Linked DNA regions of Macaca fascicularis. The protein of the gene in region 1 interacts with the protein of each later gene in a biochemical or structural test. Links are inferred from orthologs where the notes say so. Each region holds a gene or a part of one and is shown in the gene's direction. Other genes may lie near its edges.

The links.
Region 2: the proteins of GRIP1 (region 1) and CARM1 form a complex in vitro, tested with the Homo sapiens proteins (2 studies listed by BioGRID). The link is inferred for Macaca fascicularis from reciprocal best matches to the Homo sapiens genes GRIP1 and CARM1.
Region 3: the proteins of GRIP1 (region 1) and THRA form a complex in vitro, tested with the Homo sapiens proteins (2 studies listed by BioGRID). The link is inferred for Macaca fascicularis from reciprocal best matches to the Homo sapiens genes GRIP1 and THRA.

The regions. Positions count from the first base shown.
Region 1 is NC_088385.1:73,223,964-73,227,616, reverse strand, and holds part of GRIP1 (glutamate receptor-interacting protein 1), read left to right. Parts: intron 1-1,091; coding exon 1,092-1,278; intron 1,279-1,866; coding exon 1,867-2,012; intron 2,013-3,653. UniProt on the Homo sapiens protein: May play a role as a localized scaffold for the assembly of a multiprotein signaling complex and as mediator of the trafficking of its binding partners at specific subcellular location in neurons.
Region 2 is NC_088393.1:11,470,286-11,473,938, forward strand, and holds part of CARM1 (histone-arginine methyltransferase CARM1), read left to right. Parts: intron 1-2,780; coding exon 2,781-2,906; intron 2,907-3,653. UniProt on the Homo sapiens protein: Methylates (mono- and asymmetric dimethylation) the guanidino nitrogens of arginyl residues in several proteins involved in DNA packaging, transcription regulation, pre-mRNA splicing, and mRNA stability.
Region 3 is NC_088390.1:61,153,461-61,157,113, forward strand, and holds part of THRA (thyroid hormone receptor alpha), read left to right. Parts: intron 1-84; coding exon 85-232; intron 233-867; coding exon 868-1,073; intron 1,074-2,954; coding exon 2,955-3,101; intron 3,102-3,653.

The DNA.
Region 1 (3,653 bases):
TTTGAAAAAGTAGATTATGGGCTTGAAAATGAGACAGAGCAGAAATAAGTACAGAATATGGAATTTTAAATAGGAGTAGTTGAATCAATGTACCATATGTGGAGAGCAAGAATTATGAACCTGTCTTCCTGCCATTTGTAGAGAGAGTAAAAAAAAATGGCTTTTGGAGAGGGTTATGAGGTATGTGGTGTCATCAGGTTTTAATTAAAGGGGGCCAGACTCTTTCTGGAGGAAGAGGCAGTGCAGCATAGGACCTGCAGGCAGAGACTGCTCACAGAGAGCACAGGTGGCCCAGCTCCAGTGGGCAGGGCTGAGAGAAAGGCATGGAGGAGTGGAGCAGCCCTTTCATGAGTTGGGAATGGAAACAAGATGGAGACATCTGCTGGAAGGTGTAGATGAATATCAGAGAGATAAATGAAATAGGATAAATAATAGGAAATAAATGAAATACAACAACGTAGACTAGAGACCCAGTAGGAAAGAGCAAGGCTGAAGAGAACAAACTCTGAGGGGACAGGAGGAATGTACAGAGTTTAAACAACATCATCGTGCCAATTCAACACTAGATTAAGGAAAAGTACAGCCTCACCACTCCAAGGGTCAGATTTAGATTAATTATTTCTTCAAAGCTGAAGGTAGGATTGTTTAAAAGTCACAAAGCCCAGATGCAAATGGCTAAAGTGGAAAAAAACATGAGACCAGCTAGCTCAACTCCCTTTTTCTTAGGATGTAGACACACAGAGACACAAAATGGCCTACCCCAACGTTCCCCAGCTGGTGTTCAGTGATAGAGCCAGTACTAAAACCCACATACCCTGACCCTAAGGCCATCCTCTTAAAGCCCCCACAATGATCCCTGGTTTGAGGAGTGGGGAGCCAGGGTACAGGGATACACTGATATTATTATTGAAATGTGATGAATATTGAGAGATTCACTTATCTTTTTCAACTTTTGCTAAACCAGAGGCCATAATTGAACCTCCCACCTTTGCCATTAAGTTTTTATGCAGAGACACGATCTATTTTGGAAATGCTGGTATTCCTGGTGCTTGCTCCAACCTAAAGTCAGTATTTTCTGTTTGTTCCTCTAGTGTCCTTAGCCTCCAGCACAGTGGGATTGGCTGGGCAGGTTGTTCACACAGAAACCACAGAGGTTGTGCTGACGGCAGATCCTGTCACAGGATTTGGGATCCAACTGCAGGGCAGTGTGTTTGCCACAGAAACTCTCTCTTCTCCACCTCTGATTTCCTATATCGAAGCTGACAGCCCAGCAGAGAGGTGAGACTCTTTTACAGCATCATTTTCTGCTCTGCGTTTCTGGTACCTGCTATCTTTGAATGGCTAGTGAATTATGAAACATTGCTCAATGTAGGAAATGCAAGATGTGATGAACCCTCTTCTGACAATAAAATTCTATGTTCTTGATCAGGTTTGAAAAGAGTAATGAGCATGGATGCCTTTAACTAGTAGATTTTGTCCATCAAGGGACTAGAAGCTATATTAATTAAAAAGGAGAAAAATTCATAAATAAAACATATCCTGAAGTTCAACTTCAATAGTTTCTGCCATTGGGGAATATACATTCATCATTACTAAATATTGGTTTGGATCAGATTCTAACAATACTATGGTTATGAATTATTAATTACTTCTCTGGGATACTTCAGGATTCCCCTGCTCACAATTATAACCATGAAATGCAACAACATAAGATGTTGAAGTTGACCTATATGATGCCCACAGCATTGAATAAGCAAGACCAAATTATGATGCTATTTTGCAAGGATCAAGCAAGGTAGATTTGACAAGCTCAACTTGGTAATTATTTACTCCATCTACAACCTCTCACATGTGGTTCTAAATTAGATGTGGGGTGCTACAGATTGGAGACAGAGTGATGGCCATCAATGGAATTCCAACAGAAGACAGCACCTTCGAAGAAGCCAATCAGCTCCTCCGAGACTCTTCAATCACGAGCAAGGTCACACTGGAAATCGAGTTTGATGTTGCAGGTATAATCATATCATCGCAAGTCAGTGACAGAGTCAGGAGTGGACTGCATGTGAATTATATTGGTTATGTGGCAGAGAGGAAACTACTGTTTTATATGCTGAACATGCTTTTGTTTAGGAGGTTTGGGGTGTCGTGTCGTTTTGAATTGAGCATTGTTTTCGATTATTCCTTAAAATGTCACCGCATGAACAACTGAAAATAAATGTGACAAATTGAATAATAGCCACAACTACAGAGGCGACAAAAACAAATCATGTGGCCTTCATTCTTTCATTCTTCTGTATACTAGAGAAACCATATTCTTCAGTCAGAGACAAGTAAAGCCTCTCTTTGACCCTTCACACTGCAAAGAACACATGAAACTTCTTTTGAGAGCAATGAAAATTCCCTAAGTGTTTTTAAACAAGCCCAGTTGGCAAATAGTTTTTAATGTTAAAGAGAAATGACAGCAGATACTTGTTAAAAATGACAAGGAAGACTTTATTGGAGACTACTGCAGTAGGGGTCGAGAATATTGCAGTAGGCCAGGAATGGTGGCTCACACCTTTAATCCTAGCACTTTGGGAGGCCGAGGCAAGTGGGTCACCTGAGGTCAGGAGTTTGAGACCAGCCTGGCCAACTTGATGAAACCCTGTCTGTACTAAAAATACAAAAAATTAGCCAGGCATGATGGCAGACACCTGTAGTCCCAGCTACTTGGGAGGCTGAGGCCGGAGAATTGCGTGAACCCGGGAGGCAGAGGTTGCAGTGAGCCAAGATCGCGCCACTGCACTCCAGCCTGGGCAATCTGGGCAATGAAAGCAAAACTCCATCTCAAAAAAAAAAAAAAAAAAAAAAAAAGAATATTGTGGTAGGGGAGAGAGATGGAACCCAACTCCAAATATAGCCAGGGCAGTTGGGAGTTTATAGCCAGTAGACAAAGTGAAGATGGGGGAGTCATTGAATGGAAAATTACTAAAAGGAACTTGATTAAATATCAAAGGTGGAGGGCCAAGGGGATTCTCCCTAAACTGACTCAGCAGATTCTTGCTAAAATTGGGCTCCCAGCCCAAAAACAAGGCATAGTCAAGAAGAGGGCTCCAGGGAACCAAACTAAAGTTTGGTTATAGTCAGTCCTGACAGGTGTGTGGATTTTAGAGATTGGTGCTAGTTCCCATTTAAGAAAATTGTCTTCACACAGTGAAAGACTACCTCACAGACCCAATAACCCTTACCAGTTAGTAAAGATATGCTTGTGGACACAGGGATCACATTATTCCAACAAATATTTACTATTTACCATGGGCCAGTTATGCCCCTACACAATGTAGATGTAATAGTAGACAGGAAAGTAAAAAAAAGCTTATATTTTTTTAAAAAACTTATATGAAGCTTATATTATAGCAGCATATAGAAAGTTAATTTAAAAATTAACAAATATTGCCAGTGTGGTGGCTTACACCTATAACCCCAGCACTTTCGAGGCCAAGGTGGGAGGATCGCTTGAGCCCAGAAGTTCAAAACCAGCCTGGGAAATATAGTAAGACCTCATCTCTTAAAAAAAGAAAAGAAAAAAAAGTTGTTTAAGTTAGCCTGGCATAGTGGTGCATGCCTGTAATCCCAGCTGCTCAGGAGGCTGAGTTGAAAGGATCACTTGAGCC
Region 2 (3,653 bases), on another chromosome or scaffold:
GCAGTGGCGTGCTCTCGGCTCACTGCAAGCTCTGCCTCCCAGGTTCAAGTGATTCTCCTGCCTCAGCCTCCCGAGTAGCTGGGACTACAGGCACCCGCACCACACCCAGCTAATTTTTTGTATTTTTAGTAGAGACAGGGTTTCACCATGTTAGCCAGGATGGTCTCGATCTCGTGATCCGCCTGCCTTGACCTCCCAAAGTGCTGGGATTACAGGCATGAGCCACCGTGCCCAGCCAATTTTATTTTATTTTATTTTATTATTTTTTTGTATTTTTAGTAGAGACAGGATTTCACCGTGTTAGCCAGGATGATCTCAATCTCTTGACCTCGTGATCCACCCACCTTGGCCTCCCAAAGTGCTGGGATTACAGGTGTGAGCCACCGTGCCCAACCTTTTTTTTTTTTTTTTTTTTTTTTTTGAGACAGGGTCTTATTCTTGTCACCCAGTCCAGAGTGCAGTGTTGCCATCTCCGCTCGCTGCAGTGTCAACTTCCTGGGCTCAGGTGATTCTCCCACCTCAGCCTCCCAAGTAGTTGGGACTATAGGCACACGCCACTACACCTGACTTAATATTTATATATTTTTAGTAGAGACAGGATTTCACCATGTTGCCCAGGCTGGTCTTAAACTCCTGGGTTCTAGTGATCTGCCCGCCTCCCACAATGCTGGGATTACAGGTGTTAGCCACCAGGCCTGACCCTAAAAGAGTTTTTTTATATATTCTGGACACTAAATACTTAGCAATAGATGATTTGCAAATTGTTCTCCTAAGAGTTTTCTAGTTTTAGCTCTTATGTTTAGGTCATTGCTCCATTTGAGTTCTGTTTTATTTGTATATGGTGTGAGGTAGGAGTTTAACTTCATTCTTTTCTCTGTGGTTATCCAGTTTTCTTAGCAGTGTTTATTGAAGGCACTATTCTTTCCCCATTGAATGTTCTTGGAATCTTTGTCAAAAATCAATTGAGGATAAGTGTAAGGGTTTATTTCTGGACTCTGATTCTGTTCCATTGATCTGTGTCTCCATTCTTTTGCCAGTACCACTACACTGTTTACATTACTGTACCTTCATAGTAAAATTTGAAATTGAGACATGGGAATCCTCCAGCTTCATTCTTTTTCAAGATTGTTTTGGCTATTCAGGGTGATTGGGAACACTTTTGCCACATTTGCACTCACGTTGTTGTTGTGATGGGCTATTGAAAAGCAAGCTGCTGATGTCATGGGAATTTGCCATAAATCCTTCCACATATGTTTTCTAAGAACAAAGGCATTTCTGTACAAAACCGCAATGCCATTGTCACATCCAAGTAACTTAAAATTATGGCATATGTATTCCACACTCACATTTTCCTAGTTGTCTTTTTTTTTTTTTTTTTAAAGTAGGATCTCACTTCTGTTGCCTAGACTAGATAGAGTACAGTGGCACCATCATAGCTCACTGCAGCCTCAACCTCCTGGGCTCAAGCAATCCTCCCACCTCAGCCTCCCAAGTAGCTGGGACCACAGGTGGGGGCTACTCTGTCCAGCTCCCCAGTTGTCCTTTATTTATTTTTTTGAGACAGGGTCTTGCTCTGTCACCCAGGCTGGAATGCAGTGGCACAGTCATGGCTCATTGCAGTCTCAACCTCCCAGGCTCAAGTGATCCTTCCATCTCGGCCTCCTGAGTCCCTAAGACAACAGGCACACGCCACCACGCTTGCCTAATTTTAAAATTTTTTTGTAGACAGGGTCTTGCTATGCTGCCCAGTCTGATCTCCAACTCCTGGGTTCAAGTGATCCTCCTGCCTTGGCCTCCCAAAGTGCTGGGATTAGAGGTGTGGGTCCGGTCTCCCCAGTTGTCCTTTATAACTTTTTAAAACATTTTTCTTGCGGCTTCAGCCCAGGGTCCCACTTTGCATCGCATTGGGCACTCCCCGCTTTCTTGTCTCCTGTACTCTGGAATAGCTCCCACCGTTTTGGTCTTTCCTGACACTGGCCTGTTTGAGGAGACCAGCCTGGTTGTCCTGTAGCCTGCCCAACAACCTGTAGTTTTCTGTTGTCCCTTGAAGATGGGACTAGGTCAAACATTTTTGCCAAGAATACTACAGATGATGCACCTGTCCCACTGGCAGGCAGGGGCACAGTGCCTGATTGGGCCGGCCCGTTCCTGGCATCGCTAAGTTTCACCATTTGGCTGGAGTGGAATGGCCACAGGTTTGTGGAATGAATGACTAGTAACAGCTATCATGATGGGTACAGGGAGACAGTGTCGTAATTCACTAGACAACTGCCCTGCCATTAGCCCCATCTGACGGTGAGAACCCGAGTTCCAGAGAGGCTGAGGGACCTGCCTGTGTCACAGTGAACAAATGGCATGGGTGGGGTGTGAACCCGGCGGTCTGGCTACACTGGCCCCATGCAGTCACTGCACTGCACCCATCCAAGAACAGAAGGGCTCAGCCGAGTGGAGCAGAGGCAGCTCCAGCTCTGAGGCCCTGTGGGTTGGCACCGTGCCTGGTGGCCCTGTCTGCCCACCTCAGCGTTCACCGTCTCCCTGTCTCAGCCCTGGTCATCCTGAGGACACAGACTGTATCCCTGCTGTCTGATCAGCCGCTCCCTTGTCCTCAGTGTGGGCTGGGCAGGCAGCGCACCCGGCAATGCTGCCAGGGTGGTTTTGTGGCACTCTGGAAGAATCTGGGGGCACCAACGGCAGGCAGCAGGAGGGCGTCAGGGACCCGGGATCAAAAGAAGGCAGCCGACAGGGCTGTACTGCTCATGCCAGCCTATCTTCTTTCATAGATGAAGATGTGTGTGTCTTTAAGTGCTCGGTGTCCCGAGAGACAGAGTGTAGCCGCGTGGGCAAGCAGTCCTTCATCATCACCCTGGGCTGCAACAGCGTCCTCATCCAGTTCGCCACACCCAACGGTACGTGCCCCTGCTTCCACTCCAGTGACACCAGCCCAGAGCGCCCAGAGCCCTGGTGGGCAGGGGCATGGAGCCTGGCTAAGGAGTGGCCCATGCATCGTTGAGAATGCTCCGCTGCCCTCCAAACCGCATTCCCACATGCAGATATGTCCAGAGGACACTCCACTGCCTGGGGAGACGCTGGATCCCAGACCCTCCCTCACCAGCTCCTTCGTGTCTTGTGGGGCTTGGCTTTTATGTCCCCACCTCCAAGAAGCCCATCCTGACCACCTGGGCCCAGTCCTTCTGGCAGTGGCCAGTCTGGGCCAGCTGTGACTGAAGTTTAGGGGATGGAGTGAGACGAGGTCATAGGGGCAGGAAGAGTTTGCTCAGGGCACAGAGAAGCTACCAGAGGGGCCTAACCGGACCCACCTTGGGGGCACAGGGAGACACAAGATTCCTGACTAGGGATGGGAGAACCCCAGGTGGATGCAGCCGGAGTGGCAGTAGAGGTGTCGAGGATGCCCAGGGCTGGAGACGGTCTGAAGGTCCCGCCTCAGGCTTGATTTACCAGAGAGGTGAAGTGAGCCCAGTGATTGACACGGGCTGGTGCAGGGACAGCTGGAGGTGGGGAGGCTGCCTGCCCATAGCCACTGCCAGCCTCCCCCTTGTCTCAAGGAGGCTGTGCAATGACCCAGATGTACCTCAGGCAGTCTGAGCCCTCAGGGCCACCTGTGTGAAGCCACGCCTGGCTAATTTTTTGTAGAG
Region 3 (3,653 bases), on another chromosome or scaffold:
CTGACCCCCAGTAAACTGCATGGTTGGTTCAGAAAGGGGAAGCCATGTCATGATCACAGCCTGCTCCATCTCCCCCTACCCCAGGGCTTCTTTCGCCGCACAATCCAGAAGAACCTCCATCCCACTTATTCCTGCAAATATGACAGCTGCTGTGTCATTGACAAGATCACCCGAAATCAGTGCCAGCTGTGCCGCTTCAAGAAGTGCATCGCCGTGGGCATGGCCATGGACTGTAAGGGGCCCGGGTGGGGGGAATAGAGCCAGGTGGCCTGGGGTGGGGATGAGTTCCAGGAGGGCAGCTCCCTTCCAGCGTGCCCTCAGGGCCCACAGGGCAGAGTGGCAATCCAGTCTAGGTCAGGCTGAGGGCAGAAGGTTCAGTGTCTTGGTTCCTGCTGCCCTTCTTCCTGCGTCAAAGGAAACAGGATCCCTGTGTGGGCCCCAGTGCCTACCTGCCTTACAACACTCGAGGGCCTTAGAGGAGTTGTTTGGTAGAAAGAGCTCCTGGGCACCCACTCTAGCACATTGTTCTTGACTCCCAGCGAAGGCACCCCACTCCTAGATGAGACAGGGCATTTTCCATTGGCTGGGGATTGGGTGGCAGGATCTTGGAGTAACCACCATCACCATAACCCGATAGACCAGAACATGATATTCATCTGGATCAGCCCAAACTGTTATTGACATGGTCCCGGGGATTAATCATGATCCAGGTTGTGCTGCCCAACTGCTAGGTGATTTGGGAAGTCACTTAGCCTCCATGGCCCTCGGTTTCCCTAACCTGTACTCTAGGAAGAATAGTTTCCGGGAGCATTATGGAAAGGGGATGGAGGGTGCCATGCATCGGACCTTGTGCCTATCTGTTGACAGTGGTTCTAGATGACTCGAAGCGGGTGGCCAAGCGTAAGCTGATTGAGCAGAACCGGGAGCGGCGGCGGAAGGAGGAGATGATCCGATCACTGCAGCAGCGACCAGAACCCACTCCTGAAGAGTGGGATCTGATCCACATTGCCACAGAGGCCCATCGCAGCACCAATGCCCAGGGCAGCCATTGGAAACAGAGGCGGAAATTCCTGGTAAGGAGAAAGGGGGCATGGGGAGAGCAGCAGCCAGGTGGCAGGGAGAGGAGAGTGAGCTCAGAGTCCTGTCTCCTCCAGGAAGTCTTCTTAGTGTAATCCAACCCAAAATACATACTCTTCCCACTTTTGCTGTCCAGATTTTATACACTTGCGTTTGTGTCCTTGCTGTCTGGACCCTGTCTACTCCATCCAATTGGGAGCTCCATGAGGACAGGGCCTTGCCTTCCTCATTGAATTTCCAGGGAGCAAGGGTGACCTTGCTTCTTTTTCCTGCCCCTAGTGACTGGGAGGAGAGGGTAAGGATACAGTTATGTCACAGTATTTTTGAGTGCCTGCTGGGTGCCAGGCATTGTGTTAGGCCCTGGTCAAGCTAGTGGCTAAGTAAATGATTAGTTCAGGACCAGATGCAATGGCTCGTGCCTGTAATCCCAGCAATTTGTGAGACCAAGGTGGGAGGATCGCTTGAGCCCAGGAGTTCATCTGGGTAACATACAGAGATCCCACCTCTATGAATAATTTTTTTTTTTTTGGTATGGAGTCTCACTCTCACCCAGGCTAGAGTGCAGTGGCATGATCTCGGCTCACCGCAACCTCTGCTTCCTGGGTTCAGCGATTCTGCCACCTTAGTCTCCTGAGTAGCTGGGATTACAGGCAGCCGCCACCATGTCTGGCTAATTTTTGTATTTTTAGTAGAGACAGGGTTTCACCATGTTGGCCAGGCCGGTCTTGAACTCCTGATCTCAAGTGATCTGCCTGCCTTGGCCTCCCAAAGTGCTGAGATTACAAGGTGTGAGCCACCATGCCTAGCCTCTACGAATAATTTTTTTTTTTTTTTTTTGAGATGGAGTTTTGCTCTTGTTGCCCAGGCTGAAATGCAGTGGCGCAATCTTGGTTTGCCGCAACCTCTATCTCCCAGCTTCAAGCGATTCTTCTGCCTCAACTTCCCAAATAGCTGGGATTACAGGCATGCGCCACCATGCCTGGCTAATTTTGTATTTTTAGTAGAGATGGTGTTTCTCTATGTTGGTCAGGCTTGTCTGGAACTCCCAACCTCAGGTAATCTGCCTGCCTTGGCCTCCCAAAGTGCTGGGATTACAAGTGTGAACTACTGTGCTCAGCCTCTCTACAGATAATTTTAAAATTAGCTGGGCATGGTGGTGTGTGCCTGTGGTCCCAGGTACTCGGGAGGCTGAGGCAGGAGGGTCCCCTAAGCCCAGGAGGTCGAGGCTGCAGTAAGCCATGATTATACCACTGCACTCCAGCCCAGGCAACAGAGCAAGACCCTCTCTCAAAAAAAAAGTGGTCGGTTTGGGAGGAGATGGACAGTTGACTCTGTGTGGTGAAGGAAGGCAGAAAACCAGCTCCTGGTTCATGGTGGAGCATGCCAGAGGGTGGCACAGTGCACTGTTAAGGGCATGGGCTCTGATTCCAAGCAGATGTATAACAGTCAGCAGTCAGACTGCCCAAGTTCAAACCCTGGTCCTACCACTTGCTGGTCATATGACTTTAACCTTATTACTTAGCTGCCCCGTGCCTTAGTTTCCACATCTGTGAAATGGTGATTATTATAATTATTCCTTTTAGGATTACGGTCAGGATGAAATAAGACATGTAAAACATGTAGCCTGATGCCTGATCATATATTAAGTATTTAGTCATTATAGCTGCTACTACTGTTGTTACCATTGTTATTATTAGCTGACTCTGGCTCTGGTCTATCCTCTGCTCAAGGTGAAGGAAAAGCTTTGGGGCTGGGACTCAGGCACTTGCGGCCCTTCTTCCCCAAGCTGCCTTGGAGCTCCCCCTGGTGGGCAGGCAGCCTCAGTGAGAGGCTGAAAGGGGTCTGCAGCCCCAGCTGACCCCTGTCTTTCTCTCTAGCCCGATGACATTGGCCAGTCACCCATCGTCTCCATGCCGGACGGAGACAAGGTGGACCTGGAAGCCTTCAGCGAGTTTACCAAGATCATCACCCCGGCCATCACCCGTGTGGTGGACTTTGCCAAAAAACTGCCCATGTTCTCCGAGGTGAGTGGCAGAAGGGAGGAGAGACGTGGTGCTGTGCTGGAGGGAAACCTTCTCCCCCGGTCACCCAGCACAGGCTCATCTGAGGCTCTCTGGACAAGGAGCAATTCCCGTAGGTCAACACACACTCAGCACACAGGCACACATGCAGACACAGACACAGACACACCTAGCACACAGATACATACACACACACACATATACACACATATACACATACACCCAGCACTCAGGCACACGTGCAGACACATACACAGACACACACACCTAGCACACAGATACATACACACACACACATATACACATACACCCAGCACTCAGGCACACGTGCAGACACATACACAGACACACACACCCAGCACACAGATACATACACAGACACACAGACACACACATGTATACATACACCCAGCACTCAGGCACACGTGCGGATACACACACCCAGCACACAGATACACACACAGACACACAGACACACACATATACACATACACCCAGCACTCAGGCACACGTGCAGATACATATGCAGACACACACACCTAGCACACAGATACA